Linked DNA regions of Mus musculus: regions 2, 3 and 4 are each reported to be linked to region 1. The links are microRNA targets in miRTarBase. Many come from high-throughput screens and were not tested one by one. Region 1 holds a microRNA gene; each other region holds the end of a gene's coding sequence.

Region 1 (8,018 bases):
GAGAAAGTGAAGAATTTCGGGGGAGTATAGGGAGGTATTTTGGGCAAACAAGGCCTCCTCTGAGATCCGTCTGCCAAGTGATCTAGGCTTTCCTCTGCTTGTGGGAAACATTGCCAATGGGCAGGCTCATAGCCCTCAGATGGGGTGAGCTCTGCTGGATGGCCCCTGGCTGACCTTCTGAACATATAGGTTCTCCTGTTAGAGGCAACCACAGCCTTTCCCAGAAACATCCCAGTCTATCAGCATTGCCACGCCCAGTGCCCAGACTCATCAGAGCCTTCAGACTTGCCTACTGCCCATCAGGGCTCTTGCACATTGATTCGTCTCAACACCTCATCAGGGCCCTTCCTCCCCATGGCTCCACATCGAGGTACTAGACTCTCTCTTCTTACCCAAAACACAATGGCCTAGTGAGGGAACATCAGCTGTTCTGTCATTGTTGTGCTCACATGAAGATGCTGTTGCGTGTATAGCCAAGTTCGCCATGCGTGCACATATTACCGTGTGGCTGCAAACCCTGCTTCATCCTGAATGTTCCTAGGCTCAGCGGAGGTTTCCACCTCTGCATTGGCTCTTTCTAAGGCTCATGGGGATGCTCGCTCCTGGGGAACCAGGCAACAGGCCTCATGAGGCCCCTTTACTGTTCATGATGGTGCCCATCTCACTTGGAAGGAGCGACACCTATTTGGCTGGCCTGACTATACAGCTCTGGAGAGTTGGGCTATAAGTTTACATATATGGAGATGTGTATTATAATGGATTCTACGGACACATTGGAATAATGGCCTTGAGCTACCACGCCCTTGCCAGTTCTGCTCATGTTTTGCTAGGTGCTCAGAAGACAGCCTTTCTCTGATCACTGGATCACGTCACAACACCCCGCCCTGTCCCATTCATACCCCGAGAAAACTTGATCCTCTCCAAATTCCCTGCTTTCTGTAGCTTGTTTTGAGTCCTTTGTAGGATGCTCTTCAATGTTGACAACGTTTGCTCTAGCAGTGTCTTTTCATGTTGGGTTGACACAGGGTACTCGCTGTACACAAGAGGTTCCCAGGAATGCCAGTCTGCACTGTTCATTGAGACTCTGGCTTTTCTTCCACAGGAGGTTGCTCGCTGGAGTGAATGGCAGTAACCGCAATTCCTCTGTGTTTTCTCACATTCTATTTACCCATTTGCCCCCTTAACGGCTCATGGATTTTTAAAACATTTTTTTGTTTGTTTGTTTAAACTATTATTCTTTTGTGTGTGGAGGTCAAAGCACAACTTTGTGGAGTCGGCTCTCTTCTTGCATGGGTTCTACGGATGGAAGGCAGGGAGCAGAACCTCTCAGCGAGTTTCAGACATTTAAATGCTGGGTTATAATCCTGGACAACAATTGGTTCAACTGCTCAGTTTTGACTCTTGGTAGCACTTACCATCAAACTTAGGTCACTCTGAGCTCTACAACAGCACATCCATGCTCCAGGTTCATCCAGTAGTACTAAGAACCACCCATTTCCTTCCTCAGAAGTTGGATCCCTTAGTTAGTAAATGGTCTTTGCACCAAAGTCTAGGTAGAACAGGGAGAGACATGGCCATGCGTGTGCATGCCTGGTGAGTCCTACCTACTTTGTCTGTCTGTCTGTGAATGAAGGGAGACTTCCTTATACCACTGGAACCTTTGCTAGGCCACAGGTTCTCATACTTAACTGTCCCAGGCAGCAGGATAGTTAGACAGAGTTGAAGACAGGTGACAACCCACATGCTATATGTATTTTGTTTCCTTTGAATTAATTTGTAATTAAGTTAGGTAAAAAAATCAGTGCAGCTAACAGACACCATGATCTCCCAGTAGAGTCAGTCATTTGTCCCCAGTATGATCTGGGACAAGGTCTAAAAAGCTTCTGCTGTGACAGGATGGGGGTAGTGGCTTCTGGAATCTAGTGAATACAAGCCATGGGAATTCACTTCCTTTCGTGCTCAAGAGGCCCCCAGAATCTCAGTCCAGCCTCATGAGACCAGTGGCCAGGCCAAGGGTACACATGACTAGAGCTAAGGACCCCAGGGGATCCTTGCTCAGAGAGCAGCTGCCCCTTATCCAATTATGTTTTCTCCCAGAGTCTCTCCTGACACATGTGGTGATTTTTGCAGTTCTTGATGCCAACCATTCTCTCCCACTAGTAACACAGCCAGGAGAGTCTTACCTCTTTGTCAAGACAATGGCTACAGACAAGGAAGAGGGTGGGAAGATGAGTGGCAGGTAACACTAAGAAGGAGGCTCAGTGCAGAGGAGTGTTGGAAAAGCAGAAACAGCAGGCCTGAGGACAGCGGCCTATGGCTGGTGAGTGAGTAGCTTGTTGGGGCTTCCCAAAGGAAGAGAACTGAAGTTTATAGAATTCATATCTGAGGGTTTTACTCTAGCTTCTGCTCACGAGACGGCTGATACACAGCCTCCCATTTGGGCTTCACAGCCTTCACTCCCTGTTTAGTGCTTAACCTGCACTATTGGTTTGAATCTTCTTCAATGTCTCTCTATCCATCCATCCACCCACCTACCCGCGCATCTATCCACACACTCATCTGTTCCCCCTCCTACCCCCCATCCCTCCCTCCCTCCCTCCCGCCCTCCCTCTATTCAGAGTTTACTGTACTCTAAATGAAAGGTGCTCCAGCCCTCTTGCAGTTGAGTTAAATCTAATTAATGGGAAGAGACACTAAGAAGCAAGATCAAGCCAGGTGTGTGCTAGAAGCAAGCTGGTGAAGTGGGATGAGTGATGGGCACACCAGGCAGAGCTGGGTAGAGCGCAGAGCACAGATGAGAACAACACCAAACAATCTTTCTTCGTGAATTTATTAGGCAGATACTGTGTCACACTTGGGAGAGGCTGGGTGTGAGTAACTCAAAACTGGGTGCCTGACACCCTCCCCCCCCAGCTCAGTCTTACAGGGGTGGTTCACCAAAATGCCTTCTAGACTGGACACAGCAGTTTATGCCAGAAATGCTGGAGTCTAAGGCATAAGGATTCCAAGTTTTAAGGCCAGTATGGATAATTCAGTGAGATCTTGTCTCAAAAATAAATAAATAAATAAATAAAAAAGGGGGGCTGCCATGAAGACCGGTGTGGATCTGACTGATGTCCATCCCACTCCTGTAGGAAAGAAAAGATAAGTGAAAGGAAAGCAAACAACCACATCAAGGAAGGTCTGGTGCTAGGAAGCAAGTTTCCCAGCCAAGGATACAGAAGAGTAGGGAGATACTACACAAGGTGGTACAAGCCCAGGGAAGCAGGGCACTATTAGCCTAGAGCAGACAGGGTGGGGTCAGGTCTCTGGTACCCCATGAGCACTAACTGGGGGGCAGGACTAGTCTAGCAGAGGCTGCCACTGGGATCAAGCCAAAGACAGCAAGCATTCTCTAGAGCCCCAAGGGACTACTTACCATGCGACGCTCTGCGGACACCTTCAGGAGAGCCTCCACCCAACCCTCTGAAGCGAGCACAACAGGATTGAGGGGGGGCCCTCCAGAAAGGCCCTCTTGTCACCTTCCACATAGGCTGTTCTGTGTGCACACAGATGGAGATCCCCTCTTAGGGGCCCTGCCTCTGTCTCCCCAACCCCAAGACCCTAGGAGGGTCTCTTTCTGTAGTCTCGAATGCCCACTAACCTGGATCTTGGCCCGCTCACCCGCTTCCCAGCTACGTGCGCTCAGAAGCCACTGCATCGACAATGGGAAGGTGGCAGTCTTAGTAGTAGGCTCAGGGCATTATGACAAGACCTCAAAGTTCTCCATGGCTTTTAGAAACATCTATCTCTGACTCCACCAGCTACCTTGATGGGTGGGGGAACTTAGAGGATGAGTTCCGTGTGTCAACCAGCAACATTCTCCTGGAGATCGGAAGGAAGCTGTTGGCCCACTCCTAAGCTGAGAGAAGGCTAGTTCCTCCCAGTCATAAAACTCAAGGGAAGAACAGCCCTCCTCTGCCAAAGGCCTGGGCCTCTTATGCCTCTTGGTGTCTCTTTCAAGCACGGCAGGAACGTCCCAGCCTACCTCAAATAGCTGTGGTGCTCAGGAAGCAGTCAATTGGGCAGGAGCTAGTTAGTGGGGGTCCAGAGACACTCATCTCATGGCCAGATCTGTCTATGACCACTCCATCCAATGGACTCACTCACTTGCATGTAGTAGCACAAAGAGGGCCATGGTGTGGCAAGTATCCTGTACAGTAAACCCTCTTGTTCTATCAAGGTGCCATTATGAACCAATCAAACCATTTCTAAGCAGCCCTGTAGATTCCCACGCTCCAAGAAGGATCCACCTTGCTGGGCCTCTGCTCCAGCAAGACCCACCTCCCAACTCAAATGCCCCACCCCATGGGTGCTGACTGGGTCTCTGTGAGGTGAAAAATCAATCCATACCTGAGGAGGAAGAACCCCCAAGTTCTCCTACTTAGCAAACCTTTTCCTCAGGACTGAATGTTGTGCTCACAGCAGAAGCAGCTGAAGAAGTGCAGGCTCCAATCCTTGAGGCTCCCCATCACACAAGGCTTCAAAGGCAGGACTGTGCTGAGAGCTCAGAGGTGCTTAGAACAGAGAGATGGGGTAGGGAATGTTAAGACATAAACAAAACAGACACACAGCCGCTAAGGTCATAGTTTTAAGCTCTTCAACTTAATGGTTCTGTCCTAGTAGCCAAACAGCCATCAGAAGACATATTTATGGGCAATCTTTTGGCTACTGTCTGACCATGTGAGACACAAGAGCCATGTTTTTGAAAACACAGGTCCTTTTCTAATGAATGCAGGTCGTTAACGAAATAGGCTTGGAAGTCATCTTCTAAGGCCTTTGTCCATGACCCTAGACAAATCATCTTCCCAGAGTTCACTTGTACGGGGCCCTCAGCCAGGGCAAGCACTGAGGACAAGAAATCAAGTCTAGAGACTTCAGAAAAGGCTTCCTTTCTCTTTTCTGAAACTCTTTGGTTGAGCAGAGAAGAGAGACGGAGCAGAGCCATCATGCTCCCACGGGTGCAGTAGAGCAACAGTGGGAGGCAGAAGCAAACAGAAGAACAGTGAGGCCCATCACAGAAAGACACATCTGATGGACACCCACCCACCCTTGATCCCAACCATCAACATGGACAACCAACCCAGGCACCCATAGGTAACAAGGCTGGGACAGCTGGGGATGGTGTCAGGCCCAAGAGCTGCTCAGCACAGAAGGGTCACAGGAATCCTGCGCTAAGTGGCTCTCAGAAAAGGGGTGCATCACCACCAAGCTGTGAGGGGCTGAGGTACTTTGTACTCCCTCTGAAGTCCTCCCCCCAGAGGAAGAGCACAGTTTTAGTGTGAGCCCTTTGCGGAGTCCTCTCCCCTCTGTGCAGTTGTTCCCAATACATCTGACTTGGCGGCTAGAGATGTGGCTCCAAGTGTTGGCCATATAAGCCCCTTTCCCATCACTCAGAAAACAGAGAAATGCCAGGAGGTACACGTAGCTCTCCAGGCTGCCAAGAAGGTGAGCTGGTGACTTTAGAGGTGCTGCGAGAGAAGCTACTGTAAGCGGGCCCCATCATCTTCAAGGACACTCTAGAGTTGTTCCTTCAAAACTGTGTAGCACTCAGTCCAGCTCTCAGCTGCAAGGAGAGAGGATGCTCTGTATCTTCACTTGGGGTGGATGTCTGTCTTATCTGTCCAGCAGACTACAAAGACCCATCCCTAGCTACAGGCTGAGTTGCAAAAGAGCTGAAGATCCCACAAGTACGAGGGAGGGTGCCTCTTGCTTACACTGTCAGAGGCCCCAGAGAAAGCCTCTCTGACTTGACCGTTTCGGTGAACATTGCCCCAAATCCTCATTCGAGGGTAGCTCAGACCTCCATCAGCCCCAGTCACCCCTCAGCTTCTGCTCACATGAAGAACCACTTGACTCCTGAGTGTACCAGAGCCCCTGCAAGGGCAGCTAGGAGCCACGAGCCACTCCTCCAAGTAGACACCTCACATGTGGCCCTCAGTGCTTGTTAAGTGTGCTCCTATGTGCCTTCCTATAGCTCCCAGCCAGCTCATCCCAAACCTATGCCCTCAGCCCCAGCGGCTATCTCCCTCACAGCTCTGCTGCACCGAGGTCTCTGATGGCCTAAACTCAGCTCAGCCTAAGTATCATCTTGGACCCCCTTCAAAAGGCTTTTCAGTGCCCGCCAGGGTTGGAAAATAGGCTCTGGACACCAGCTACCCCCTCAGTCAGAAGCGGGCTTGACTCCTACTCCTCAGCGAGGTGGCCCTCGGCAAGTTGGGAGCTCGGCTGCAGCTAGGCTTCTCTCTAGTTGCCATGAAGTTGAAGTGAATTAAATGAACACGTAGTCCCCCAAGGCCTAGGCCTCTGCGCTGCAGACTCTACAAACAGGTCAATAAGAATGAGGCCTTCTGAATTACTAAGGCTGAGCTTGGAGCAATAAGCAACTCACACAGCGACATAGTGACACAGTGCCATCCTGAAGCCCACAGGACTTAGGCCTTGGGAGATAGGGATCAACCAAGTCTCACTGTTTCCAAGAAAAATACCTTTTCCCAAGAAGCAAGACTGAGCCGGGGAGAAGGAAATGGAGGGAACCCAGGAGACATAGGGTAGAGATGAACACAGGAGCCTCCTTCCCTGTCTGCTCATATGCTGAGAGAGGCAAGCTGCAGATACCAGGACCTTCTTGGTGACTTCTATCCTCTCTATGCCAGGCTAGGCCCTACTCAGTTGGGGTGAAGGGAGGCCCAGGGACAGACAGCTTAGATGTTTTGTTGCCATGGCAATTGCCTAACTCTGTGGTACAAGCCACAGGTTACTAAGGGGCCACAAGGAGGGAACCAGGCAACTGTGCTGGATTATCAAGCCTATCCCAAGCCCCAATGGAAGTTCATTGTTTATCCCCTGGTCTTCTCTTTTGCAGACCCAGCTTATGTTCATGAACAAGTCTCAGCCTCCTAGACCAATGTCATAGCAAAGTCAAAGATCACGTGCCCAACAACTCAGCTTTGACGGCCCGTGTTCCTGGGACAAGAACAGCTGCACTACTTCAGAAAAGGCAAAGGGCAAATGCCTACAAAAGCCAGCTCCCTCTTCAGTTGAGTGACAAGGTTGGCTGGTAGCAGGCACCAAAGCTGAACAACAGGGGGCGGCCGCCCCTTGCCCACAGCCATCTGCGGACACGTGGATGGCAGATTCAGAGGACCAGAGGCTCCTTTATGTTATAAATTAAGTATCTGATTATTGTAGTAAAATCGAATATCCAAACATCAATGAATAAGCTATTATTATTCAGACAGAAAGAATGGGGGGAAATGCATGGCTAAAGTATCATTTATCTAGACAGAACTAGGACCAGAGGGTGTTTTCTAGTTCTGATCTTACAATGGTGGGTGTTCAAATTTGCTCGTTCTTTCTGAGGTCTAGGTCTTGGTCTGTGTTACTTTGGACCTATTCAGCTTCTTGCCTAGAGCCCTAAGGAAAAATGCAAGAAGCCCTAGGAACACCTTGACACTCATTTCTCTTTGATACCAGAATAGGTCCTGGCCCACAGGCCTTCTCCCTATCCAGTTCCTGTGAGAGTCGGTTTACCTGGGTCTTCCTGCTCTAGACTGTCCTTGAAGCTTCCTCAGCCCTGCCTGCACTTGGCCCCAGCTCCTACTCCTCATCTGTCCCTGTCTCCGGGTTATTCGTTGTTCTCATGGCTCCTCTTCTCAGACCGGGCATTGTTCAGTCCCTAATTCTGACCATATCTAGTCATAGCGAATGCATCCTCCAAGCCCCCTCCCTCCACCCTGCTGCCAACTGAGCAACCATTTGGCCTGTGACATTTAAAGCCACACAGGAGCCAATGCTCGCAGTTGTCGGGCTACTGCTGCCTTCCTTGGCTCCACATGCCTGGCCCCCAGCACACTTGCTTGTTGACTGACAGCTCAGGCCAGTCAAACCCCTTTCCAGTCAGGCTTTCTTAATTTGGCTCCTTCACCTCACGGATGGCCCACACAAGCCCATTCCTGCCCCTATAAGGAGAAGCCAGG
Region 2 (8,018 bases), not on the chromosome of region 1:
TAGACAAAGCCGATTTTCAGACCATCTTGTCAAAGTATTGCTGCATCAAAATGTCCTGATGAGCACCAAATGCAAACGAAGGAAGGAAAGGGAGAGCGTCAAATTTCCCTGACTTTAGCACAGTCCTGGCAGGTGAGCCTCCTGGCTTAGACATCACACAGAATGGCCGGGTGCGCCTACCTGAGTGTTTTAGAAATACTTTATTTTCTCCCAGGCCTTAAAACTTACTAGCGGGGCTGGTGAGATAGCTCAGTGGGTAAGAGCACCCGACTGCTCTTCTGAAGGTCCAGAGTTCAAAACCCAGCAACCACATGGTGGCTCACAACCATCTGTAACGAGATCTGATGCCCTCTTCTGGTGTGTCTGAAGACAGCTACAGTGTACTTACATGTAATAAATAAATCTTTTAAAAAAAAAAAACAAAACTTACTAGCTTTTTTTTTTTTCAAATCAGGGTGAAAGTTACCATGATCTTTAAAATATCACATCCCTAGACAGGTTGTTCTAGAGGGGGGCAGTCTCCTCCTCTCAGGGCATCCATTTGAGGGTGCTGCCTTCTCAGGTAGGGGAAACCTCCCACCGATTTTCAGAACTCAGACTGTTTCTTTTTTTATGAGATATTTTATTGTGTGTGCATGCATGTGTGTGTTCGTGTATCTGTGTGTCTGTGTGTGCAGGCACACATGTGCAAACACACACATAAGTGCAGGAGCCAACCTCCAGTTATGTCTGATATGGGTTCTATCCAAGTTCAGCTGTCCCCCTCTGCTGTGTTGCACTGGAGATTTCTAACGTCCCTCAGCCAAGAGATCACAAAGCATGAAGTATGCACAGGACAAAACAGACAGGAAGCATCAAGCATACACAGGGCCAAGGAGACATAACCACCCACCAAGCTTTTCTCAGTTCCTCGTTCTGTTCCTGCCCCTCCACATCTATGAAGTTACACTGATCATTTTTAATTCATTCATTGACTAAATCAGAAATTAATGTAGATCTACATTCTTTTCTTTTCTTTAAAACATTTTTTTTTAATTTTTGAGACAGGCTCTCTCTACATAACCCTAGCTGTCCTGGAGCTCACTTTGTAGAGCAGGCTGGCCTCGAACTGACAGAGACCCACTTGCCTCTGCCTGGAGAGTTGGAATTAAAGGCCTGCACCACCATGCCCAGTGGATTTAGATTCTTTTTGATACATAATGACTATGCATATTTATGAGGAATATGTAATGTGTGTAATGTTCAAGTGTGTAATTGTTATACTCGTTACTGCTAATATTTATCATTTCTCTGATAATATTCAAAATCCTTCCAGCGTGTTCTTCCAGCTGGAGCCTCTGCTGTCATGCACCATCTCCCCATCCCGGCTTCTCTCCAGGTCTTCTCACAAGACTTTCCCAGTCAAGAGATTCCTGACCAAGAAACCAAAGCAAAATCACACTATTCCTCAATGGACTCAGGTGGAAACTGGTAACCAAATCAGGTACAACTCTGAGAGGAGATGCCAGAGGAGAAGTAAGCAGGGTCTGTAAGGATTCACACAATGGCAAGACTGAGGGTTTGTACTGAACCACGTTGATCGATCCGTCCTACCAGACGGAGCTCAACATTCTTAACCCGGGGACTTAGTTATGTTTAAATTGGGGGTGTGGTTTGAACAGCAATAAAATGTAGAACCTTTCTCACACACACACACACACACACAAAAAAGGAAAGAAAAAGAAAATATTCAAATCCTTCCTGTTTTGAAATACACTATGGAGTTTGGGGGTTGTATTAGTCAGTGTTCTGTTATTGTAAAAAGGCAGCATGACCACAGCAATTCTTATAAAAGAGCACGTTTAATTGGCGCATACTTATAGTTCCAGAGGCGTAGTCCATTATCATCATGGCAGGAGGCACGACCTCACACAGGCAGGGTGCTGGAGAAATAGCTGAGAGTTCTACACTTGGATCTGTAAGCAGCAGAAGAAGAGAGGAGACACTGGGCCTGGCTTGGGCTTTTGGAACTTCAAAGCTCACCCCCAGTGACATTATTCCTTTAATAAGACCACCTACTTCAAGAAGGCCACACCTCCTAATCCTTCTCAAGTAGTGCCACTCTGATGACTAAGCATTCAAATTTATGAGCCTATGGGGCCACTCTTATTCAAACCACCATAAGGGTATAATGGTAGATTCTATGCTTTGCTCGTACTGGGTTTGATCTCCAGCACCAGGTCTATAGAGATGACTCAGTGATTAAATACAGTGGCTGCTCTCCCAGAGGATCAGAGTTCAATTCCCAGCAACCACATTGCAGTTTATAATCATCTGTAAGTCAAGTTCCAGGGGAATCCAATGCCCTTTCTGCCCTTCACAGGTACCAGACATGCAGGTGGTGCACAGACATATGTGCAGGCAAAACACATAAAATAACAAAAATATTATCTCCAGCAACAACAACAAAAATCGATCTGTGCGATAGATACTGTGCTACAGAACCCAAGAATCTAGACTTCCACTGTACCCATAACCAGCCAGTCCTACTGTCCTCCCCTGCTAACCTTCCCAGCTTCTGCCACCTAATGTTTGAGTTTTGTCACTGTGACAGATGCTATGACCAAAAAGCACTTAGGGAGGAAAGGGTTTATTTGGCTAATGTGGAGAGCCGTGCCACGAGGTGCGTGCCGCCAGTAATCGCTGTGGAGAGCCGTGCCGAGAGCAATCACCATTATAAGATGGCGCTGGCCTCCGCTGTGCCTAACTAGTAAACAAGCCTTGTACGCAGGTGCGAGAGTGAACTCACTCCTAGTCACTCCTATTCTCGAGGTGTAATAGTGGGGTGATGGGCGAGCAACGAATCAGGAGCTGTCACGCCATATCAGGTGCTGAAATGTCACGCTGCAGGCTATAAAAACGGCGCCATTTTCCCGGTTTGGGGTCTTCCTGAAGAAGCAAGCAATAAAGCTTTTGCTGTGGAAGATTCCGGTTTGTTGCGTCTTTCTTGCCCGTCGAGTGGGACGCAAAAGGCTAACACTTCCAGGACACAGTCCAGCACTGAGCAGGCACTCAGGGCAGGACCCCGAAGCAGAAAGCCTGATGACTTTCAGGCTTATTAGAGGAATCTGCCTTGATCTCTGGCTCATGCTTACTGTGCTCTTAACTGAGCCACCTCTGCCCACCCCCCAGACCTGGGTCTTAGTTTCTGAAGGCTCTCATGCCATGCAACAGTTTGATTTTTGTTATTGTTGGTTTTTGTTTTGTTTTGTTTTTGTTTTTGTTTTTGATTTGGTTTGGTTTGGTTTGGTTTGGTTTGGTTTGGTTTGGTTTGGTTTGGTTTTTCGAGACAGGGTTTCTCTGTGTAGCCCTGGCTGTCCTGAAACTCACTTTGTAGACCAGGCTGGCCTCGAACTCAGAAATCCACCTGCCTCTGCCTCCCGAGTGCTGGGATTAAAGGTGTGCACCACCACGCCTGGCAACAGTTTGAATTTTTAAAAATGATTCATCTGTATACTGGGGGGCAGGCGTGTGCCATGGTGCCCGTGTGAAGGTCAGAGGACGAGTTGCTGGAATCAGTCCTCTCCTTCCACCAGGTGGGGTCCAGGGATTGAACTCATTTGTCAGGCTTGGTAGCCAGTCCCATTTCCCACTGAATCAGCTCATGCAACCCTTTTATTAAACATGGTTTAATTAAACATGGTTCAGAGGCTGCAGAGAAGGTTCAGCACTTACGAGCTCTCACAGAGGACCAGAGTTTGGTTCCTAGCACCCATATTAGGTAGCTCATAACCACCTGTAACTCCAACTCCAGGGGAACTGAAATCATGTGGCCTCTGTGGGCACCTGCACAGACACACACGGACACACATGTGATGAAAAATAATAACTCTGACTCGGGTTCTATAGCCGTCTCTTTACTGCCTGTCTTGTGTTATAGGGGATCAAGCATGAGCCTAGCAATGGGTAAAGAAATCCCTCCTCCTGTGCTGACCACTCTCTGACTGGCAGGTGGCTGTGGCCTAAATGTGCGGGAATGAGAGCGTTTGCTCACACACATCCTCTTCCCTGCCTCGAAGACAGGTCTGAAGGTTGGCACACATGGGATTCCTGGCTTCTGTTTCCTTCCCCAGCTGCTCTGCTGCCTCCTGGACTAAATGTTCATCCTCCCCTCATGTCACCATGACAGAGCTCAAAACACCAAGAGGTTCTCTTCCCAACATTGGTTTGCTTTGTAAAATTGATGTTCTTGTTGGATGTGTGCATAAAAAAAAAAAAAAAACCCAAACAAACAAAACCCCTTCTCTTCTTCGCTGCTGCTAGACGTGTGTTAAGTATCTGAACAGTCACCCAAAAGCCACTTCTGGAAGGATGACAAGAGTGGGAACACTGGCCCAAGAATTGAAGGAAGGACAACATAGTTTTGTCTATAATGAGCTAGTTTTTATTTTAATAAGAATATTTACACTTAAGGTTCCCCCTTAATTCATGACATAAAAGAATTCTGTTTTTTTTTTTTTTTTTTTTTTGGATAGGCACATTTTAAAATTACACATGTGGTGTGTGTGTGCGCGTGTGTGTGTGTGTGTGTGTGTGTGTGTGTGTGTGTGTGTGCGTGCGCGCGTACGCACACGCGCACAAGCACTTGTGTGTGTCAGAGGACAACTTGTCAGAGTTTGTTCTCTCCTTCTACCATGTAGACCCTGGGGGAAAAAAATCTTAAGTTGTCAGGCTTGGCAGAAAGCACCTTTACCACGGAGCCATCTCACCAGGTCCACAGGCACATTTTTATAAGAAAGTTTTAATTTCTTTGTCGTCTTACGGCACTGGGGAATGAATTCTGGGCACTATGGAAGAAAGACGAATGCATTACCACCAAGCTCTATATATCCTCAGTCCTTCATAGGCACTTATTATATTGAGAAAAAACATAAGCTGGGCGTGGCTTTACTCCCAGCACTTGGGAGGCAGAGGCAGGCCGATCTCTGAATTCAGGCCCAGCCTGGTCTCGGCCAAGGGTACACAGAGAAACCCTGTCTCAAAAAAAAAAAAAAAAAAAAAAAAGAAAAGAAAAAAAGAAAAAGAAAAAAGAAAAAAGAAAGAAACTTTAAAAAATTAGAATATGTTCAAATGAACTAACCTGAACTGACATTGTGATAATATATATGAGGTTTCCCCCAAACCATCAACTAATAGGTTATATTTTAGAGGACAGTCCCTAACTCTTGCTACCCAACTGTTTGTGGAAGAAAGTCTGGAGCTGCTGCCATGCGTCCACCTGGGCCACGGCATGAGCCCTGGGCTCCCCTCCAAAGGTGATGTTGGCACCCACCAGGAGGTGCATGCCAGCGCTGCACAGCGGGAAGTAAGGGGGCTCGATGTAATGCCCTGCTGCTGGGTAGCAGATGATCTGGGGCTTCTCCTTCCCGTGCGCCTGCAGGCGTTTGGAGATCTCATCAGCATAGAACTCGCTCTTCCAGTTGTGGTCGTCCTGACCTACGAGGAACAGGAAGGTCGTGTCAGACCTTTCCACGGGAATGAAGCTCTTCTTGTCTACCAGAGGGCTTTGCAGAGCTTCCACGACATCCAAGAGACCATCTTTGGTCATTTTGACTTGGTTTCTCAGAAGGGACACAGGGGGTATAGTCTCATCCTTGTAGGAGATGGTGTTCCCAACAGCAGCCACGGAGCCATTGATGACCACAGCAGCTGTGATGCCCTTCAGGAAGGAGGCCATAGCAAGGCCAAGTTCACCCCCTTTGGAAATCCCAAGCAGCCCAATTCCAGGTCCTTTTACCTGAGAAAGAAACAAATGAAAAATGGAGATTTAGTCCAGGAACAGTATTGAGCAGTGAGTAGACCTAGCCAGAAAGTCAAATAACCCTGGGCCAACATCAGCATTTTCTTTTCAAAGCCACCATGGAGGAATGGAGCTACATTGGCCACTAAACTGTTGAGGCAATGGACCCAAGAAACTAAGGAAAACACACATTCCTGCTGTCTGATCTCTCACTGGACAGGAGCACCGATGTGGCCTTTCAATTCTGCCACAATCACTGGTATTTTGCCTTCCACTTTCTCCAAAGGAGCCCCCTCCCCCACATCCTCTCCTACCTCCTCAGACTCTTTGGTCCCCACCCCCACCCCACATGCATGCCCCTCCCCTCAGCTCTCCATACTGCAGTGAGAAAACAGAAGCTCCAGCAAGAAAGCCTCCTCCCTCCCCAGGCCCTCTGTTCCTGGAGGCTCAGGCTCTCAGAGGACCACATGATCTCAGCGGCCACCCTCTGGCTGTGTCTGGGATGCTGCCCACTATCTTTCTCCAGGGATGGCCTCCCACACATACTTCCAGCCTCCTTCCCTGTAAACCTCTCTGCTGGTCCTCCTTGGGTCCTCCCTGCTCTGGGCTCTTCTGTTTTCTCACAGCCCTGGGCCCTCAGCTGTGCTAGCTAAGACTTTGTTCCCTGTCCTGGTTCCCTACAAAAGCTGTGGGAAGATGCTTGTTGTATTTTCCTTTCTCCATTCCCTGCTCATGGCCTTCGGGGTGGTTGGACTGGCACTGTCCACAAGAACTGTGCCTGTCCTGAGTCCCAGTGTCCTCTGGGCTATAAGCAAAAGGACTTTTGGCTAACCTTTCACAACAGTCTTTTTTCTTCTCTTGTGGCTTCTAAAACAACACCCTGGAAACTTTCAAACTTTACTCTTCACTGAAGTGCTAGGAATTAAGTGATGTGGTAGTTACAGTGTTTCTTACAGGAAGAAACCGAGGTCCCAAAGTTACAGAACTGGAAGATGCTGAAATGCAGGTTGGTGAGATGGTTCAGTGGGTCAAGCATTTGCTGCCCAGGCCTGATGACCTCAGTTTGATTCTCAGAATAACATTAACGGTGGAGGCAGTGAACTGACTCCACAAAGTTGCCTTCACGCCCCCACACGTTCATGAGCACGGACGTTCTTGTACGTGTACACAAATGCACAATATTAATAGCATTTTGAAAATTGATGAAATCAAACCTCAGACTTCTCTCTAGCTGCATCCTGCACTGGCTCTACTTCCCTAAGAGCATCAATGCTTCCAGCCACATCAATGTCTGATTATAAAATTAGAAAATGAGCGAGGGTTGCCAGCCCAGCCTGTGCTATGCTGAACCTAGAAAGCTCAGAGCACCCTGGTCTCCTGCTGTTGATTCTCAAGTCCCTCTTACACAGTTCACCCTGTGCTTCCATGTCAGCTCCCACAAGGGCACGTGGACACAGGGACATAGGGACACGGGCAGCAGAGAGCTGATGAGTTTATCATTTGATATGATATGGCGATAGCCCGACCTTTTTCTTTCCCTTTATTTCTTGTGTCAAACCTTGGTTCTCAAGCATGCTGGTATTCTTTATGAAACACTACAACATACCAGAACTCAGAATCCTGAACGTTAGCTAGCATGAACTACAGCATCACAGAGAAACGTCTAGCGAGTAAGCACAGAAGGCAGTTCGTATAGACTGTCTCCCAGACAGGGAGGGGCTGCCACAACAGGGCTCATTCTGTGAACTTAGGCGTTGATGAGGAGATCTGATGGGGGTCAGTAAAACTTGAGGGGACCTCACCTCGGGGTGGCTGCGCAGGTAGTTCACGGCTTCTTCAAAGTACTCCATGTGCATGGTTTCTATGCTCTTGGGGAGGTCGTCGTAGTTGTAATAAGCCAGAGCCATCACGGCAAAGCCCTTCCCAGCCAGCAGGCTCGCCCGATACTCCAGAAGGCCACCTCCAACTCCAAAAAGGTCTATGATCCCAGGAAAGGGTCCAGGTTCTGGGGAGAAACCAAACCAAACCAAACTAAGCATTCAGGATGCTTAATTCAGGATGAGTACGTTTCAGACTGATCATAAAGATACTAAAAGCCCTCCGGTCTTCAAGCACCCAGAGCGGCCAGGGCTGAGTCCACAGTTTCCTCTCGCCCCACAGTCCTCTCTCTATCTAAGTCTCAAAATTCCACAGACTTTTACAGAGAGAATATGTTACTCTTAACATTAAAAATACACTA
Region 3 (8,018 bases), not on the chromosome of region 1:
CATTAGAACAGGTTGTCTGGCCTGGGGCTTGGGCCAGTGTGACAGCCTCTGCAAGCATGAGGACTTCAGTTTGCACTCATGTAAAAAGTAGAAATTGCCTGCCCGTGCCTGTAAACCCTGGCACTGGGGAGGCAGAGACAGGTGGATCTGCAAGCGGGAAGGCCAGTCGGCCTAGCTTTGGAAACCATAGCAATGGACGCCACTTGATCCTCTCCTTTCCCAGGCCTAGCCAGCATGACCCAGCACCTGGAGCCTATTCTGAAGAAGCAGGATTGGGACTGGACGTAAGTCCTGGGGACTGGACCTTGGGGGTGGGTGCAGGTAGGGGGAATATCTAAAGGCTAAATTCTGACCAGTTGTGGGTTTCCTGAGACCATCTCTTCTCTCCAGACTCCCTGTGATCAAGTTGGCCATCCGCCTTGGGCTGGCGGTGCTAGGCTCCCTGCTGGGCGCCTTCCTCATTTTCCCTGGCCTGAGGCTGGCCCAGACCCACCAGGACGCGCTGACCCTGTCTGCGGACCGACCACTGCTACAGTTAGGCGGGTCTCCCAGGGTAGGATTGGAGTTGGGCTAGAGGCTGGGGGTGAGGAGCCTGATCCCACTGAGATGCTTGTCCCCAGGCTGCTCCTACACACCAGCTTCCTGTCACCCCTGTGCACCTTGTGGCTCTGGACAAAGCCTGTCGCCCGGGACTTCCTGTACCAGGCACCCACAAGGAACATGACTTTCTCTGTGTGCGTTTTGGGGGCACTGAGGGGCCTGGGGTGCCTGAGGCCATGGCCTGGGAAAGGAGGGCTCACCCAGACTTCCTGCCTGCTTCACTCTTGTTGCAGACCGTCAGAAGGGGCTTTCGACTCTCTGCGCCTCTGGGTGTTGGTGGCGCTGTGCCTGTTGCGCCTGGCAGTAACCCGGCCACACCTGCAGGCCTACCTGTGCCTGGCCAAGGCTCGAGTGGAGCAGCTGCGCAAGGAGGCTGGCCGCATTGAGGCCCGTGAAATCCAGCAGCGGGTATGCACCCTGGGTGGGATGGTCCCGGTGCTGAGGGGGCCTAGTCGCAGGGTCTCTGCCCTGGGAAGACCACCCCTTCTACAACCCCCACTGTCTCCCCCGTTAGGTGGTCCGGGTCTACTGCTACGTGACTGTGGTGAGCCTGCAGTACCTGACCCCGCTCATCCTCACTCTGCACTGCACACTGCTGCTCAAGACCCTGGGTGAGGGGCTGGTGGGAAAGAGCATGGGGCCAGGGGGTGGGGACAGATTTGATAAGGGTAGGATCTTCAGATAAAAGTGGAGGTGGGGGGTTTTCTGTTCGAGGGCAAAGTTGGCAAGTAGAGGTGGGGACATGGCCGGGTAAGGGTGGGGCTAGCAGATAAAAGTGAGGGCAGGGTTTGGGAAAAGCTACAGTTAAGACCCATAGGCAGGGAGGTTGGAGGCAGGGCCAACAGACAGGGGAGGATGGAGGCCCCCTAAGGCCTGCGGGGTGTAACCTAGGTGTGGGCGGGGTGTGAGAGCCTCTAGATTCCCACCATTATGTCTCCACCTATAATTCTCTTCTTCACTCCTGCAGGAGGCTACTCTTGGGCCCTGAGCTCTACTCCTCCCCCACTGGCCCCATCCCAGCCCTCAGAGGCTTTGATCCCTGTAGACCCTGCAGGAGATGAGGCCCAGCAGACTGCAGCCCAGGTTGCAGGGATCCTGGGTGGCCTGCTCACGCCCCTCTTCCTCAGAGGCATGCTGGCTTACATCATCTGGTGGACAGCTGCCTGCCAGCTGCTCTCCAGCCTCTTCGGCCTCTATTTCCACCAGCACCTGGCAGCCTCTTAGCAGGAAGGCACTAGGCTCTAGTGTCTGATTCCTGCCCACCAGGATTGGGACTGTTCCCTGTGTGTGTGCCTTGGTGCCCCTAGATGACATAAGGGTTGGTGTGGGGACTCCCTACCATCTCTCTCACTTCAGTGCCTAGATCATAAACCCCTTGAAGCAATCTCCCCTGGGCCATGATCCCCAAGTGTGTGTGTGTGGAGGGGGCACGTTTTACAGAAATATCCCAGAGACTGGGGGATGAGCAGGGGAGACCTGGATAGTGAGAGGGGCCTGGGAGAGAGTGGAAACCTCAAGATCAGAGGTGGCTAGGAGAGCTAGGGGTGGGACTCTGGCCCAGCATCCATATAGCCCCGGCATCTGTCAGTATCCCCAGGAGGGAGAGACAGTAGTCTCCATGCCTGTCTCCCCAGCACACTTGGGGAAGCTGAGGTAAGAGGGTTAGCCTAGACTAGTAACAAGACTATGTAAAACAAGAAGAAAAAGGGGGCCGGGGGAAGCTTGAAAGGGAAGAGAGGGAAGAGGTTGTCACCATCCTCCAAAGCTGTGAGGATGACTGCTGTGTTTTGAGGTCTTGGTGACTAAGGGTCACCTCCAACTCCAAAGTTATTTTTTTGCTATGACTTAGTGTGTTTACGTGTGTATTTATGAGATATGTGTGACCTTCCTACATATGTAAAATGTGTATTGAGAATAAAAAAGGAGGGCTTCTGCAATGCTGCCTTACCATGGTGCCAGTGTGGTCTGGCCCAGTCATGTTCAAGAGCCAGTGCTCAGTCAGAGCCTTGAGCCTCTGGGTCTCTGTCCAAGAGGACTTAGGAGTGTGACTGCCTATGTGCTGTGAACACAGGTGCTGTGAACACAGGTGCTGTGTATGATACAATAGGTCCATGTGTGAGAGCAGGGATCAGAGGACAACTTAGCATGTAGATCCTAGCCTTCTACTATGAGACAGGGTCTCTTGTTTACCTGAGTCCCTCAGGTCAGCTGTCCAACAGGCTCCAGGGAGTCTCTGGTTTCTGCTTCCCACCTTGCTTGTAGGAGTGCTAGGATTATAGACTAGTGCTGCTGTCCCACTTTATGTGGGCTCTGGGGACTTGAACTCAGGTCTTCATGACTGCAGCAAATATGGCTGACGTGTGTGTTATGAATCAACAGGATGTCCTTGAAGGGCTATCTGGAGTCCCTGCCTCCCAAACTGACCCTGACAAGGGCTGCAGGACCTTGTGGAAGTCTCATGGGAATCAGGGATGCCCATGCTCTGCTGTGGATTTCAGAGTGTAGGGGCACACGACGTACAGGGCCCCACCTCCTTCAGCTACATGGCTCAGGGCTGACTGGGCCTGAGCTGTGTTTCAGAGCAAGGTCCTTAGGCTTCTGGCCGATGCCCATTTGCTGAGCATGATGGAGTATAGCTGATGACTCCAGAGGTAGTTGGGCCAGCCAGTGCTATGCAAGAACTAGAAGCCAGCATGGATTATATTTCTCAGATATTAAATAAATCCGAGCCATGTTGTTGGCAGATTTAGCTACATGGTTACTGTATTCCTGGATCCTTATCTTTTTTGTACTGGCAAAAAAACCCCAGGGTCTTTTGTATAGTAAGTGCTCCACCCTTGAGCCACGCCCCCAGCCCCTCACTGGGGGATTCTAGGCTGGGACTCTACTGCCCCAGTCTAATGTTCCATCTTTGGCCATCAATTTCATCCCCAGTAGCCTGTGTCACATTTACATCTATGAACAGAAAGTTGCACAGAGCACTTGGACAACACACCTGCAATCCTCAGCTCTCTTTCACAAGGATGGGGGGGGGGGCTGGAGAGATGGCTCAGAGTGAAGAGCACCGGCTGCTCCTGCTGATGATCCAGTTGTGCGAGCACCCCATGTGATCATCTGTAAGTCTAGACTAAGGATCTGCTGGCCTCCTCCGGCACTAGGCCTGCACAGTTATGCAAAGCACCCATACACAAAATGCCTTTTTAAAGTAGCAAATAGTGGCCATGCAGTGGTGCTGTACACCTCTAACCCCAGCACCCGGGAGGCAGAGCAGAGAGGCTAGCCTGGTCTACAGAGCAAGTTCCAGGACAGCCAGGGCTACACCGAGAAACCTTATCTAGAAAAATTAAAAACAAAAGTGCTAAGTAGCTTGACCCCGTTCATAGAGTGGGAGGTGGAGCCAGAGTTGAAGAAGTAAGAAGCAGGAGATATTTAAAATTTTATTAAATATACTCTGTTGGCACAAATCTTCAAAATATATAAACATTATATATAAACAAAGTGTCTTTATGGCATCAAAATAGAACTCCAGACTGGACAGTGACCACGGAGGAGGGCAGCCACAGAGCTACTGGACAGTGACCATGGGGGAGGGCAGCCACAGAGCTACTGGGGGGATATGGGGAAGCAAGAAGATCAGGGACCCAGGACACCCTCACTTCTCCTGCCCTGCTGGTTGCCTGATGCAGGGCTCAAGCCAACCATCTACATGGTGCAACCTGCTGAGGTGACCCAGGAGCCTCAGTCACCTCCGGCCTCCTGGTAAGGGATGCCTAGACTCTCCATCCCAGGTGGGGAAGGGAGTGGCAGTACACTCACGAGAGGACAGTCCCTCTCAGCCACCAGAGGCTGCCGGGGGGGGGGGGTGTCTGGGGACATGGTGGGGATGGCCCATCACTATCCGCGGAGGCTGAGAGATGGCCAAGCGTCACAGGCACAAGGTAAGAAATATAGAATGAACAAAGACTGCAGCAAGAATTGCAAATGCCCAGGGCTCGAGCCACCCTGCTCAGGTCCTGCATGTGAGATGGCTGCCATCCAGCTGTGGGAATCAACACCCAGATCACCTCTGAGCCAGAGCCACATTGCATAGGAAGGGTAGGGGTTTTATGTGCAGACCTGGGGCAGGATAAGTTGAAAACTAGAAACTAAAGGTAGGTGGGGCAGTGGTGGCGCACGCCTTTAATCCCAGCACTTGGGAGGCAGAGGCAGGTAGATTTCTGAGTTTGAGGCCAGCCTGGTCTACAGAGTGAGTTCCAGGACAGCCAGGGCTATACAGAAACCCTGTCTCGGGAAAATAAAATGAGAGAGAGAGAGAGAGACAGAGAGAGAGAGACAGAGACAGAGAGAGAGACAGAGACAGAGAGAGAGAGAGAGACAGAGAGAGAGAGAGAGAGAGAGAGAGAGAGAGAGAGAGAGAGAGAGAGAGAGAGAGAGAGAGAGAGGAAGGAAGGGAGAGAAAGAAAAAAAAAGAAAAGAAAAGAGAGTAAAGGCAGGAGGGCTGCTCTAAGTTGAAGGCTAGCCCAGATAACACTCAGAAGCAGGACAGCCAGGGCTTCTGGCTAGGACTGTCTCAAAGACCCTAAATCAAGAACCCCAGACACCAGGAAAGGCAAGAGTTTCCTGTGACACCTAGGGAACCCAGTGTGTGGGGGGGTTCTCCTTGTGTCAGCTGGCTGGTGGTCCCTGGATACCCCAGCCTTTCCCTGCTCCCCAGGTCATGGATACATCTGTACTCATTCACACAGGAAAAGCCACCCACCCATCTTTGGGCTTCATGTGGCCTGGCTAGATGACAGCCACAGAAGGCAGTTTCAAGAGCTTGAGCCCTACCTCCATGGATGCTGTGCATATAAGAAGCTTTGGGCCTGCATTCGGCCTGATTGGTGTACTTTGGAAGACACCCCAGATCAGTGATACCCACATGGGCATTTCCAGTGGGGTCTGAACTTGACACCCCTGTCTGGTGGCCATAGGGCCTCCTGGAAAGGTACAAGCCAGGTAGTTGGCAATGGTCAGGTGCAGCCCTCGGAAATAGGATGGGCACAGTGCTCTGGGGAGAAAGCTATGTGGGCAAGAGCAGCCATTTGTCACCTGGGAGAGGATAGGCAGGCATGGTGGAGGATTGAGGAACACAGGTATAGCCACCACTGAGCAAACTGTGACCCTCCAGTGTGTGGCTTAAAAGGAATTGCTATCACATCTGCAGGCCAGGCACGGTCATAGCAAGAAGGGATGGGCTCTGAGCCCCGGGTGCCAATGGGCACTAGATCAGCAGCAGGTCAGAGGACACAGGGCCAGGAAGTGCAATTGACCCATTAGGGGCCTTTGGGTAACACCTCAGGAGACTCACCAGCCAATAGCAAGGAACTGAAGGGAGGGGACAGCCAAGATCCATCATCACAATGTCACACCCTGAGGACCAGCACTTCGCTATGGGCCCTACAGCCCCAAGTCAGGTCCCGTCCTCCTGCCCACCCTCAAGGTACCACAGGGCTGCGAGCACACAGCTGCATGCCCCTGCTCGAACAGCTCACCATCCACTGTTGTGTTAGCCTAGCTCTGCAGCCGGCGCAGCAGGATCTGCATGAGGTCGAAAGTGGTGAAGCTGATCCCCACGGCAATTGGGCCCTTCAGCCAGTTCATGCTCAGGCCCTTGTAGAGGCCCCGCACCGCGCCCTCCTCACGTACAATGGAGCGTAGTGTGCTCAGGATGGAGCCGTGCTGGTGGCCCGTGACACCTGCTGTCTGCATGCGCCGCCGCACCACGTCCAGAGGGTAGGAGGCCGATTGCCCGATAAGGCCAGCACAGGCCCCGAAGACCATGCGCTCAAAGGGGTAGGGCTGCGGGCGGCCACTGTACTCTGCAGGGCAGAGGGCACATGAGTGCCACACTTGAAGAAACTAAGGCCCCGCTTCCTGGCCACCCTTTCTTAGTTTTGATGCTGGGAATGGGACCCACATCCTAGCCTAACACAACACACACTTTGCAGCAGTGAGACTTACACGGTGGCCCAGGCTATCTATGTAGTAGTTTCCCCTCACCTATTGGGTACAGGTCCCCATTCTGCAGTTTTCAGTGCCCCATCATCTGTGGGGATGAATCCCAAGATTCTCCATGGATGCCTGGACCCTTAGAGTACAGGGCTACACAGACAGTTTCCTCCTACATGGAGGACGTGCCTCTGCCTGACTTTCGTAAGCTAATGAGGACTGTAGCGATGTGCAGGGACAGCTGTGTGAGTGTAGTCTCCATCTTAGTGTCCTGCTAGGGACGTCGGGGCATCTACTGCTCCATCTAGAGCCCTAGCACAGCCCATACCACAGGAGAAGAACAGCCAAGCATGCTGCTGTGGATTCTCAGATCATGGCGGCCAGGGATCAACAACCACCTGGTGCAGGTGCAGCACAGGCTCAAGGAACCTCTGATGACAGGTTCTACTGTCAGTTGGTGTTCTGTGACAGGAGTGTCACTGGCTAGCCCAGGCTGGCCTCCACCTCCTGCCCTGGCCTCCTGAGTGGGACAGCAGGCATGAGCCAGCACACCCATAGACTGAAAGGGTCTCAACATCCTGCACTTGTGCTGTGTGCAGACTTTCTTCTTGTCACTGTTGCCAGCTGAACTCAGTGACTACTGTGGACAGCATCTCCGCATCCAGGCGGCCTGCCTTACTGCCGAGGGTGAGCTGCAGGAAGAGCGACTCTACACCTGACTTGAGACATCACTGTGCCACTGCACAGAGGGGATGCAGGCGCTGTGGACTAGGGGGCCTTGAGGGTCCAAGACACTGTCCACACACATTGAAGGTTTGATACACGGTCTTGTTAGGTAGCACAGACTGGCCTTGAGCCTATAGCAATCCTCCTGCCTCATTCTCCCTGAACGCTCAGATCACAGGTGCACCCACCACTCCTGGATTCTGAAGCCATCTCCAGAGTGCTACCCACAGTCCCAGTGAGAGGCTTCAACTGTTCTAGATCGTTAATGTTTAATGAAACACTGGGGGGCTGGGGCTGCTGCCTGTCTGCAGGGTGCTTCCCTCAAATACAAGAGGCCCTGGGTTTCATCCCTAGCACCTCATGCGTGTGAGAAGCAGGCTTGTGACCCCAATGCTGTGGGGAGGAGAGTGAGGCACAGTTTAAGGTCTTGCTCAGCTACAAGGCAAACTTGAGGTCAGTTTGTGTTCCACAGTGCGACCCCCGCTAAGTAACTGAATGAAAATGGACACATGAAAGGTTGCAGCCCAAGCTCCTGGGTCCCACTGGACAGAGGGTGTCTTTTGAATTGGGCTCTGGATCCCTGCCTGACCTCCTGTGTGGCTCTGGATGATAGGGTTCACAGGGACAGCTCCCCGAGGCCCCATCTCTTCTCTCCATCTCCCCTTACCTCGGTGCAGGCTCTTCAGTGACTCGTACGTGAA
Region 4 (8,018 bases), not on the chromosome of region 1:
TCGCTTACACCTTCCAGAGGCATCCCACAATGCTCTGGACTCTGACAGCTTACTCCTACATCCTCAGCTTGCTCTCACTCAACCTTCCCTTCTCATTTGGCTAGGTTGTGCGACCACAGTGCTGGTGACTGGGGCAGGCATTGGCGAGATGGTCCTGCAGATGCTGGTTGGCTTGGTAGGTGGGGTCCTCTGGGTGTGTGTGTGTGTTGGGGGGGGGGGGTCAGGGAGTACTCCTCTAAGCAGGTGAGAAGATATACCCAGCACCTTTAAGTCTAAGCGGTCACTTCCTGAGTTCCACATAGCTTGAGGAACCCACCAGGCTGAGGCTAGATGCTTCCCTTCCTAAGCCAGCCAGACTCAAAAGCCAGGTCTCTGAAGGTGGGATGTGGAGACCTTAATGACCAAATGCATGAATCTAAAGCAAACAGGGCTGTCTGGGCCTGGGGCCAGGGTGGGCCTATAGGAATGGTGTTGGCTCTCAAAGCCTAGTTGGAGTGCCCTGATGCCGGCAGTGTTCCTAATGCATCCTGCCCAAATCCATGTCTTCCAGTCTGTAGCAATACTACCCAGGACCCCGTTCATGACCAGTGCCTGCCCTGAATACTCCCTAGCTTTCCTTCAACATGACTGTGTTACATTTGTTTCCCAGGAAGTCAAAAGTTAAAACCAGCATTACTTTCCTTGACTACCGCAACACAGATGCCAGTCTTTTCAGAATCCTGAGACATAAATAAATTTAGCAGCTTGTCTTAGGTCAGCTGGCTTTAGTAACAGCCTCCTTTGAATGAAGCAGAGCCTGTGTTGTATTGTCCCCCACAATGCTCTCATAGCCACTGAAGCCTCCTTTCTCTCCTTCCAGCCTGATGGAGAGAGGAAGGGTTACATTCTGGATACATTGAAATGCTCTCTCTGGGGTCTGATATGGTGTACTTGCCTGCTTGCCTCTCTCTCTCTCTCTCTCTCTCTCTCTCTCTCTCTCTCTCACACACACACACACACACACACACACACACACACACACACACACACGCACACGCGCACACACACACACACCTTCCCCAGAGTTCCACTTAGGCTTACAGGTATAGAAACATCTTACATGTTTGAAATGTCAATGATCACATGGTGTCTTCCAGGAAGTTTTAGAACACAGGGCTGAAAGAGTATATGATGTATAGACAGGTTCAACCCTGGTTGACTGCAGGATTTATGTCTTCACCAGATTTGTAACTTTGGGGAGACCTTCCCCACATTCCTGCATCTGGTAGGATGGCCCCAACTTGACAGAGAAGCCGAAAAGGGCCCAAGGCAGCCATTTTTCCCATGCACTGCCAAGTGGGATTTTAATGGCTGCTGTGTTCCTCTCTGGCAGATCTTTCAGGCCCAGGGCAGTTACAGTTTCCTGGTCTGTGGTGTGATCTTTGGCTGCCTGGCTTTTATCTTCTACATCTTGCTCCTGTTTTTCCACAGGATACACCCTGAACTCTCATCAGGTAAGAAGAAATTTTGTTTCTACACAGACGGGGGAAACAGGAGGGCGGGGGAAGAGCGGGATCCTAACGATCGGAAGTGCTGCTCTGCTCCAAATGAAATGCAAGGAAGTGTTTGTTTTCCTACGGCTTCCCTTTCGCCTCTTCCTGATTTCCCTGTGATTGTCCACTGGAGTCTGAAGGCAGCAGAGGGTGAACAGGCTGACTCACGGCTTCTCCATTAGCAGAGGGGCACAGACAGTGAACCCCTTTACAGTGGATCCTAGTGCCAAAGTCTGAACCCGTGAGAAGGGAGAGCCTGCCTCCCTGGCTGGAACCTGGCCCAGTGGCCTAACTAGGCCCTTTCTTACAGTTTAGGGTTTTGACTCTTGTCCAAATTGCTTCTTCAAAAAGGACATTTTTTGGGAGGGGGGGTGGTGGCAAAATAGCAGGGAAGGGTTCCTTCAGGATAGAGATACTCCTAAGGATAGTCTCCATCCTGGAGACCCCAGGTCGGGATCGTACCAAGGCTATTTTTGTAACTGTGTGAGTCTCTTGCCTAGTGACCACAGCCATGCATCAGGCTGTTCTCAGCAAATGAGAGCTAGTGCTGAGCCAGTGCTCTCTCTTTGAAAACAGAATACAAAAAGATGGAAGAATTGCCCACAGCCCTCTCTAAGTAGCCATGTTCACTTTAAATACTAAGTGCATAGTCGGACATGGTGGCACGCGCCTTTGACCCCAAAGGCGGGGTGGATCTCTGTGAGTTTGAGGCAAGCCTGGTCTACTGACTTGAGTTCTAGGTCAGACAGGGTACACAGTGAGACTCCATCTCAACAAAAACACAACATGACAAAAACAAAAATTGGCTACAGCCAGAGAGAAGTCATACCGCCTCTCAGAACAGCCTCTGGGATGGCAGGTGGTAGCTTCTGACTAGCCAGTTCCTTTATAGAGAGCATCGCTTAACATATACAGTCAAGATGGCTCAGCATGCATGGGTGATACTGATACCACCAAGACTGAGTGCAGTCCCTGAGACTCACATGGTGGAAGGAGAGAACTGAGCCCTGTAAGCTGTCCTCTGACTTCTACATGAATCCTGACTGTAGCATGCACACTCCCCCACCACACACATAATAAATATCCCAATAAAGACTGCCCTTGAAGAAAATGAAGAGGAAGAGGGGGAAGAGGAAGAGATGATGATGATGGTGGTGGTGATGATGATGATGATTGTGAATATCAAATGTTCCTTTCTTATGGGAGACAAACAGTTTTTTTCCCCCAGCCCTAGATATCAGTCTCACTGTCTCTATTAGCACTTCACCAGAACTTGATCTTGATCTGACTTCCCACAGTGCCGTGTGTGTATTGTGTGTGTGTGTGTGTGTGTGTGGCGTGTGCTCTTGAGCGCACACACATACATGTGTGCACCTATGAGACTGTGGCTGTACGTGTGCCCTAGTGCACCTAGAGCTAGACTAGCAGAAAAGCATACAGCTTGCTTGCTCTCAAGAGCTAAATGCTGCAGAGGAAGCTGGGGCCGCCCACATTTGCTACCAGTGTTGTTTATGTTTTCTTTTGTAGTTCTTACCCAAGACAAAGCCCTTGGTGTGGAGAACCCTGAGTGCTACCAGAGGTGAAGAGCTGAAGAGCTCAGCTCCTGAGCCACAGGGTGACCAGACTGACACAGGAAGCCAGGGTTGCACAGGAGGCTGCTCTTGCTTGTGTCTTCCTTCCCTGAGTCTTCCCTGGACAAATCGAGCACCTGCCTGACACTTTAGTTATCTTCCTCTCTGGTCCGGACTTGTTGTCCTGACAACCAGACAGGAGGATGAAAGACAGCCCGCACACACCTCTCCACACACCACCCCACGCATGGGCTAAACTCTGGGTTTGAGATCACGTTTAGTTGAAGTTTGAAAAACATGCTAAAATCCTAAGTCATTAACCACTGCTAGGTGTAGATATATTTTAAATCAATCAAGCCCCTCTGGCATGTTAAAAAAGATTTATGTGTTCTTCACTTACCCATGGTCCCAAGTCCCTCACATCCGTCCTGCAGAAATCAGTTTATTTGTGTCCTAAGACAACAAAGGAAATGTTGAATCTTGCTTTGAGACCCTAGTCAGTGTTGCATTGGGCTAACTCAGACAAGCTTTAGAAAGTTGACTGTTAAATTTTCATTTTGAGAGCTAGTAGGCATGACAAAGACTTAAATTATTATTTTTATTATTATTGAGATGGTATTTCTCTGGGTAGCCCCAGCTGTCCCAGAACACATTCTGTAGACCAGGCTATCCTGGAATTCACTCTATAGACCAGGCTAGCCTCAAACTCACAAAGATCCTCCTGCCTCTGCCTCTCAAGTGCTGGGATTAAAGGTGTGTACTGCCACTACCTAGCTTTAAAAAAAAAAAAAAAATTGTAACTAAACAAAGGTAATTCTCCAAACCTCACTTTCTAATTTTACATGGCAGATGCTCCTGAGCCCAAGAAGCAGCTCAGATGCTGCTCAGGAGTGTCCATGGCACCAAGGTGGTGACATTTCTGTGACAGAATACTGCTGGGCTCCTCCTCTCAGATCTCTGTGACAGCCTGCTGGTAGTCCAAGGTCAGCCATGGCCCAGAAATGGTGAAAGCCGTGCCCCTGGGAACAGATGGGTTTCCAGCGTCTTTCTGCTAACGAGCAATGCTAGTTGGTTCAGAAAGTGCAGGGAGAATGAAATGGACAGTCTGTTGTTCTTTACTGAGATCCTCAAGGTACAGAAGAATTTTTTTTAAAAAAATAGCTCATTTGGTATTTTATACCTTTTATAGATGAAAATTTTATACTGTGTCAAGGCCCTCCCTCCCTCCCATATAAATCTAGGACTACTATATAATTCAAGCCATGCAGTATACAGAGAGCAGTGTCAGTATGCAGAAACCAGTGTCTGTCAGGAGTGCCCTCTTCTATACAGAAGGTAGGTTAGTAATCCAGAGAATACAAGAAGGCGGCTCACCAGCCCGGGCAGGGCTGGGTGCAAGGCTTCTGGCATCAGCGACATGACATGATTTGTCTCTGGGAAGTCTCTAGGAGGAACAAATGTCCTGTTACAGTCATTGGTTTAATCTGTACATTCTCTGTGCATATACATGTGTTCATGTGAGCATGGACTCATGGTCCCAAGGGCTGTAGTTCACACACTAGACACCAGCAGAGCAGAGGTGGGCCAGGTTATCAGCCTTCTAGCTGTGACTCCAGAAGCCCCCCATCCCCCACCTCCAGCCTTGCTTGTTTTTACCAGTATGATGGCATTTCTAAAAGCACCCTACCTCACAGGAATTCTGAGAGAACTGAGAGTGTGTGGAGCATCTGCTGCATGCCCTACATGGGACCTGCCTTCCAAATGTTCATGGTTTTACTTCTATTCTTTGTAACACCTCATACGCAGCTTAGACGTCATCTCCATTTGGTACAAACTTTAAGTCAAATTTAACTTTGAAACGCCGATGGCCTAAGCAAATCCTTTTAACTATATTTATAAATTCATTGAAAAGTACCTCATACTAGCCATATTAAAATCTAGCTGGGCAATCTAACTATGGTGACTGACCTGGGCAAAGAGAAAGTGGTTGTATTTTTCTTGTAGTTTTTTTTTCAAGAAAACATCCTTTTTATACAGATCTAGAAAGAAGAATCACTGCTTATACCTACATTGGTGATGATTGATGTGTTAATATAGAAAACTCAAAAGAATCTCATACTTTCCTAAAATAAAATATTTTAAACCTAGTAAGTGTGTTATCCATCTTGAAGGGCAGTCGACCCTTTATACTGAAGATCAAATGGTCTAACGCTCCCCAAAGACAGGTCTCTCTTAGAGGTTCACGTGACGCACATGCACACACTCTTGTGCACACACACACACACAAACACACACACACACACACACACCCAATATAAGATACACACATGACAACTATGTATGTATGTATGTATGTATGTATGTATGTATGTATGTTATGTATGTGTATATGTATGTATGTATATATGTACACCTTTGGAACTTGGGGCAGGGCTAGGGGTGGTACCTGGGGTTTCAAGCATTCTAGGCAAGACTCACCACTAAGCCACACTTCTAGCTATCAAGAGTGTTGTAAAAAAACAAAACAAAACAAAAAAAAATAAATAAAAAAAATAAAAAGAAAAAAAAAAAAAGAAAAAAGCCGGGCAGTGGTGGCGCACGCCTTTAATCCCAGCACTCGGGAGGCAGAGGCAGGCGGATTTCTGAGTTCGAGACCAGCCTGGTCTACAAAGTGAGTTCCAGGACAGCCAGGGCTATACAGAGAAACTCTGTCTCGAAAACAAAACAAAACAAAACAAAACAAGAGTGTTGTGATGTCTCCCTGTTCCCAGATTCCTTCTGCAGACTTGGGGATCTAAGCCACCAGCATACCTTGCACACATTTAAAGGAAGGTATAGTGACACAAAGGGTTCATTTGTTTTGTTGTTATTCATTCGTTTTGTCTTTTTGAAATGGGTTTTACATTGCCCAAGGTAGACTAGATGCCATGTAGTTCAGATGATCTTGGACTCCCGATTTTCCTATTTCCACACCCCAGGTGCTAGGATGACAAGCATGCAGCACCAAGGCCAGCCTGTGTGCACCTGGGGATCCACTTTAGAGTACACCAGGGAGGCAAGCACTCTACCCATGAGCGATAGCCTCAGCTCACAAGTTTCTTACAGAGATTGCGTTTACACATTAAAAAAAAAAAGATCAAACAGCCACCATGTTCAAAGCAGAGGCTCAGGTACAGTTTCAGCAATGAATGAGAAGTCCCTGCCTCACAGAGACTTCAAGGTCAAAGCCATAGAAACAGCAAGTAAATATATAACATGTTATAGGATGATAGAGTACTGTAAGAAGCAGCAGGGGTGGGCGTGGGAACGGCAGATGTTCGGGCTATCTTAACAAGAGGACATGTGCTACACAGGAGAAAGCCAGGCGGGTGGGTACCTGAGAATATTCCTGCCAGGTAGAGGCTACAGCAAGGGGAAGGGCCTTGAACTGGAATGTTCCATAGAATCTGAGGAGCAGCTGGCAGACTGGTCTGGACAAACTGCAAAGCAGGCAGACAGTGGCAAGAAACAGGGTGGCATGAATGTGGATTTTTCTGGGGGATGTGAGCTTACCAACAGACTGTCACATGGCACGGTTCACACATTTAAAACCGTTACTCTGGCTGTTTGAAGACAGTGGGGCTGAGGTAGGCTCAGATACACTGCAGGGCTGGAGAGGTGACAGTGACTTGGACCATGCTGGAAGCAGTGGAAATGGTGAGGGCGAATTCAGTTGGAAGGTCTGTCAGAATTTGCTGATGGACTGAGTATAAGAGAAGGGTGCCAGTCTCAAGCTGAAGGCATCTGACCTATGCCCAGGTGTGAGGCATTTTGAGGTAGGCAAGCACAGGGAAGACTCTACTTGGCTATACATACAGTACTTAACAAGCTGAGACCCTGCCAACATCAGGCTGCACACCCCTTCTTAAATAAAGCAACTGGTAACTCTAACCTGGAGCGCCCTAGCCATCCTTAGTAACTTCCCTTCTGTGGCCAAACACATCCTGAAACACCTTGGGATCTGGAAATGTGGGCTCATCCAGCCTAAACTGGTTTGGGGAACATAGACAATAAGGCAAACTATGCCCTACAAATGAAGTCTTAGGGAAAAACCCTACTTACCACCGTGCCTATGCATGATTGAACGAATATGATGAAGATCAGATGTATCATGGGAAAGGACATGTGAAGTAAACTCAGGTTTATGTAACTCATACATGTTATTCCATGCCTGTAGAGGTCAGGGGACAACTTGAGGTGTTGGCCCCTGCCTTTCCATCTTGTCTGAGAAGAGTTCTTCGCTGCTGCACAGCCAAGCTCACTTCTGGTGGATTCTTCTGTTTCGCCCTCCCATCTTTGGGAAGAGCAGCTGTTCCCAACCTATGGGTACACTGTAGCTCTCTTCAGACACACCAGAAGAGGGCAACAGATCTCATTACAGACGGTTGTGAGCCACCATGTGGTTGCTGGGAATTGAACTCAGGACCTCTGGAAGAGCAGTCAGTGCTCTTAACTGAGCCATCTTGCAAGCCTGAGGCCATATCTTTAAAAAAAACAGTTCTGCACATCAGTATATGATGCTATCCTGGATATCAAGCCAGCTGCTAGACTTGGTAGCCAGAGTTTAAAGAGAAGTTATATAGCTTACAGTGTTCAGAGACAAGGAATGAAATCTCCTAGTTAGTGGTTGCAGGGACTGAGAGATCGAGCCTGGGGGTTCTTCAAAACCTAGGGGTTTAGAAAAAGAACTGATGTAGTAAAAAATTAGAAGCCAGAGGTAGGAACCCATTCAACAGTCAAAGTGGCTTCCTGGAAGGTATGGGAAGAGCATCTTAAGAAGACATCAGTGCTTGTGAGAGATTAACAGGACTAACAAACACTGGGCTAGATGGGAGAGGGGCTTAGGTAAATGACCAGTGTGTTCAAAACATATGGG

What was found. Region 1 holds the annotated microRNA mmu-miR-298-5p (GGCAGAGGAGGGCUGUUCUUCCC, at 3,940-3,962, opposite strand). A microRNA usually pairs through its seed, bases 2 to 8, with sites in the 3' UTR of a target mRNA and lowers its output. Matches are read on the target gene's strand: a 7mer-m8 pairs with bases 2 to 8, a 7mer-A1 pairs with bases 2 to 7 and ends in A, and an 8mer does both.
Region 2: the mRNA of Acot2 is a reported target of mmu-miR-298-5p. Seed matches in the 3' UTR shown: 7mer-m8 at 4,947-4,953.
Region 3: miRTarBase lists Slc25a42 as a target of mmu-miR-298-5p. Seed matches in the 3' UTR shown: 7mer-m8 at 4,800-4,806.
Region 4: the mRNA of Mfsd4a is a reported target of mmu-miR-298-5p. Seed matches in the 3' UTR shown: 7mer-m8 at 3,828-3,834.

The regions. Positions count from the first base shown.
Region 1 is chr2:174,263,614-174,271,631 of GRCm38, forward strand. It overlaps Mir298 (microRNA 298), which reads right to left and starts at 3,972; the gene lies at 3,891-3,972. Mir296 (microRNA 296) reads right to left here and starts at 3,512; the gene lies at 3,434-3,512.
Region 2 is chr12:83,990,260-83,998,277 of GRCm38, reverse strand. Acot2 (acyl-CoA thioesterase 2) reads right to left here. Exons shown (of 3, transcript NM_134188.3): 2 at 7,582-7,784; 3 at 4,401-5,776. The coding sequence ends at 5,198. Among named protein-coding and RNA genes, the nearest start is that of Acot2, 6.4 kb to the right of the region's middle.
Region 3 is chr8:70,180,316-70,188,333 of GRCm38, forward strand. Slc25a42 (solute carrier family 25, member 42) reads right to left here. Exons shown (of 8, transcript NM_001007570.2): 7 at 7,985-8,018; 8 at 4,025-6,461. The coding sequence ends at 6,154. It overlaps Tmem161a (transmembrane protein 161A), which reads left to right. Exons shown (of 12, transcript NM_145597.4): 7 at 224-284; 8 at 391-534; 9 at 621-734; 10 at 834-1,008; 11 at 1,115-1,211; 12 at 1,568-3,366. The coding sequence ends at 1,824. Among named protein-coding and RNA genes, the nearest start is that of Tmem161a, 12 kb to the left of the region's middle.
Region 4 is chr1:132,034,015-132,042,032 of GRCm38, reverse strand. It overlaps Mfsd4a (major facilitator superfamily domain containing 4A), which reads left to right. Exons shown (of 10, transcript NM_001114662.1): 8 at 105-175; 9 at 1,373-1,493; 10 at 3,060-5,250. The coding sequence ends at 3,115. Among named protein-coding and RNA genes, the nearest start is that of Mfsd4a, 30 kb to the left of the region's middle.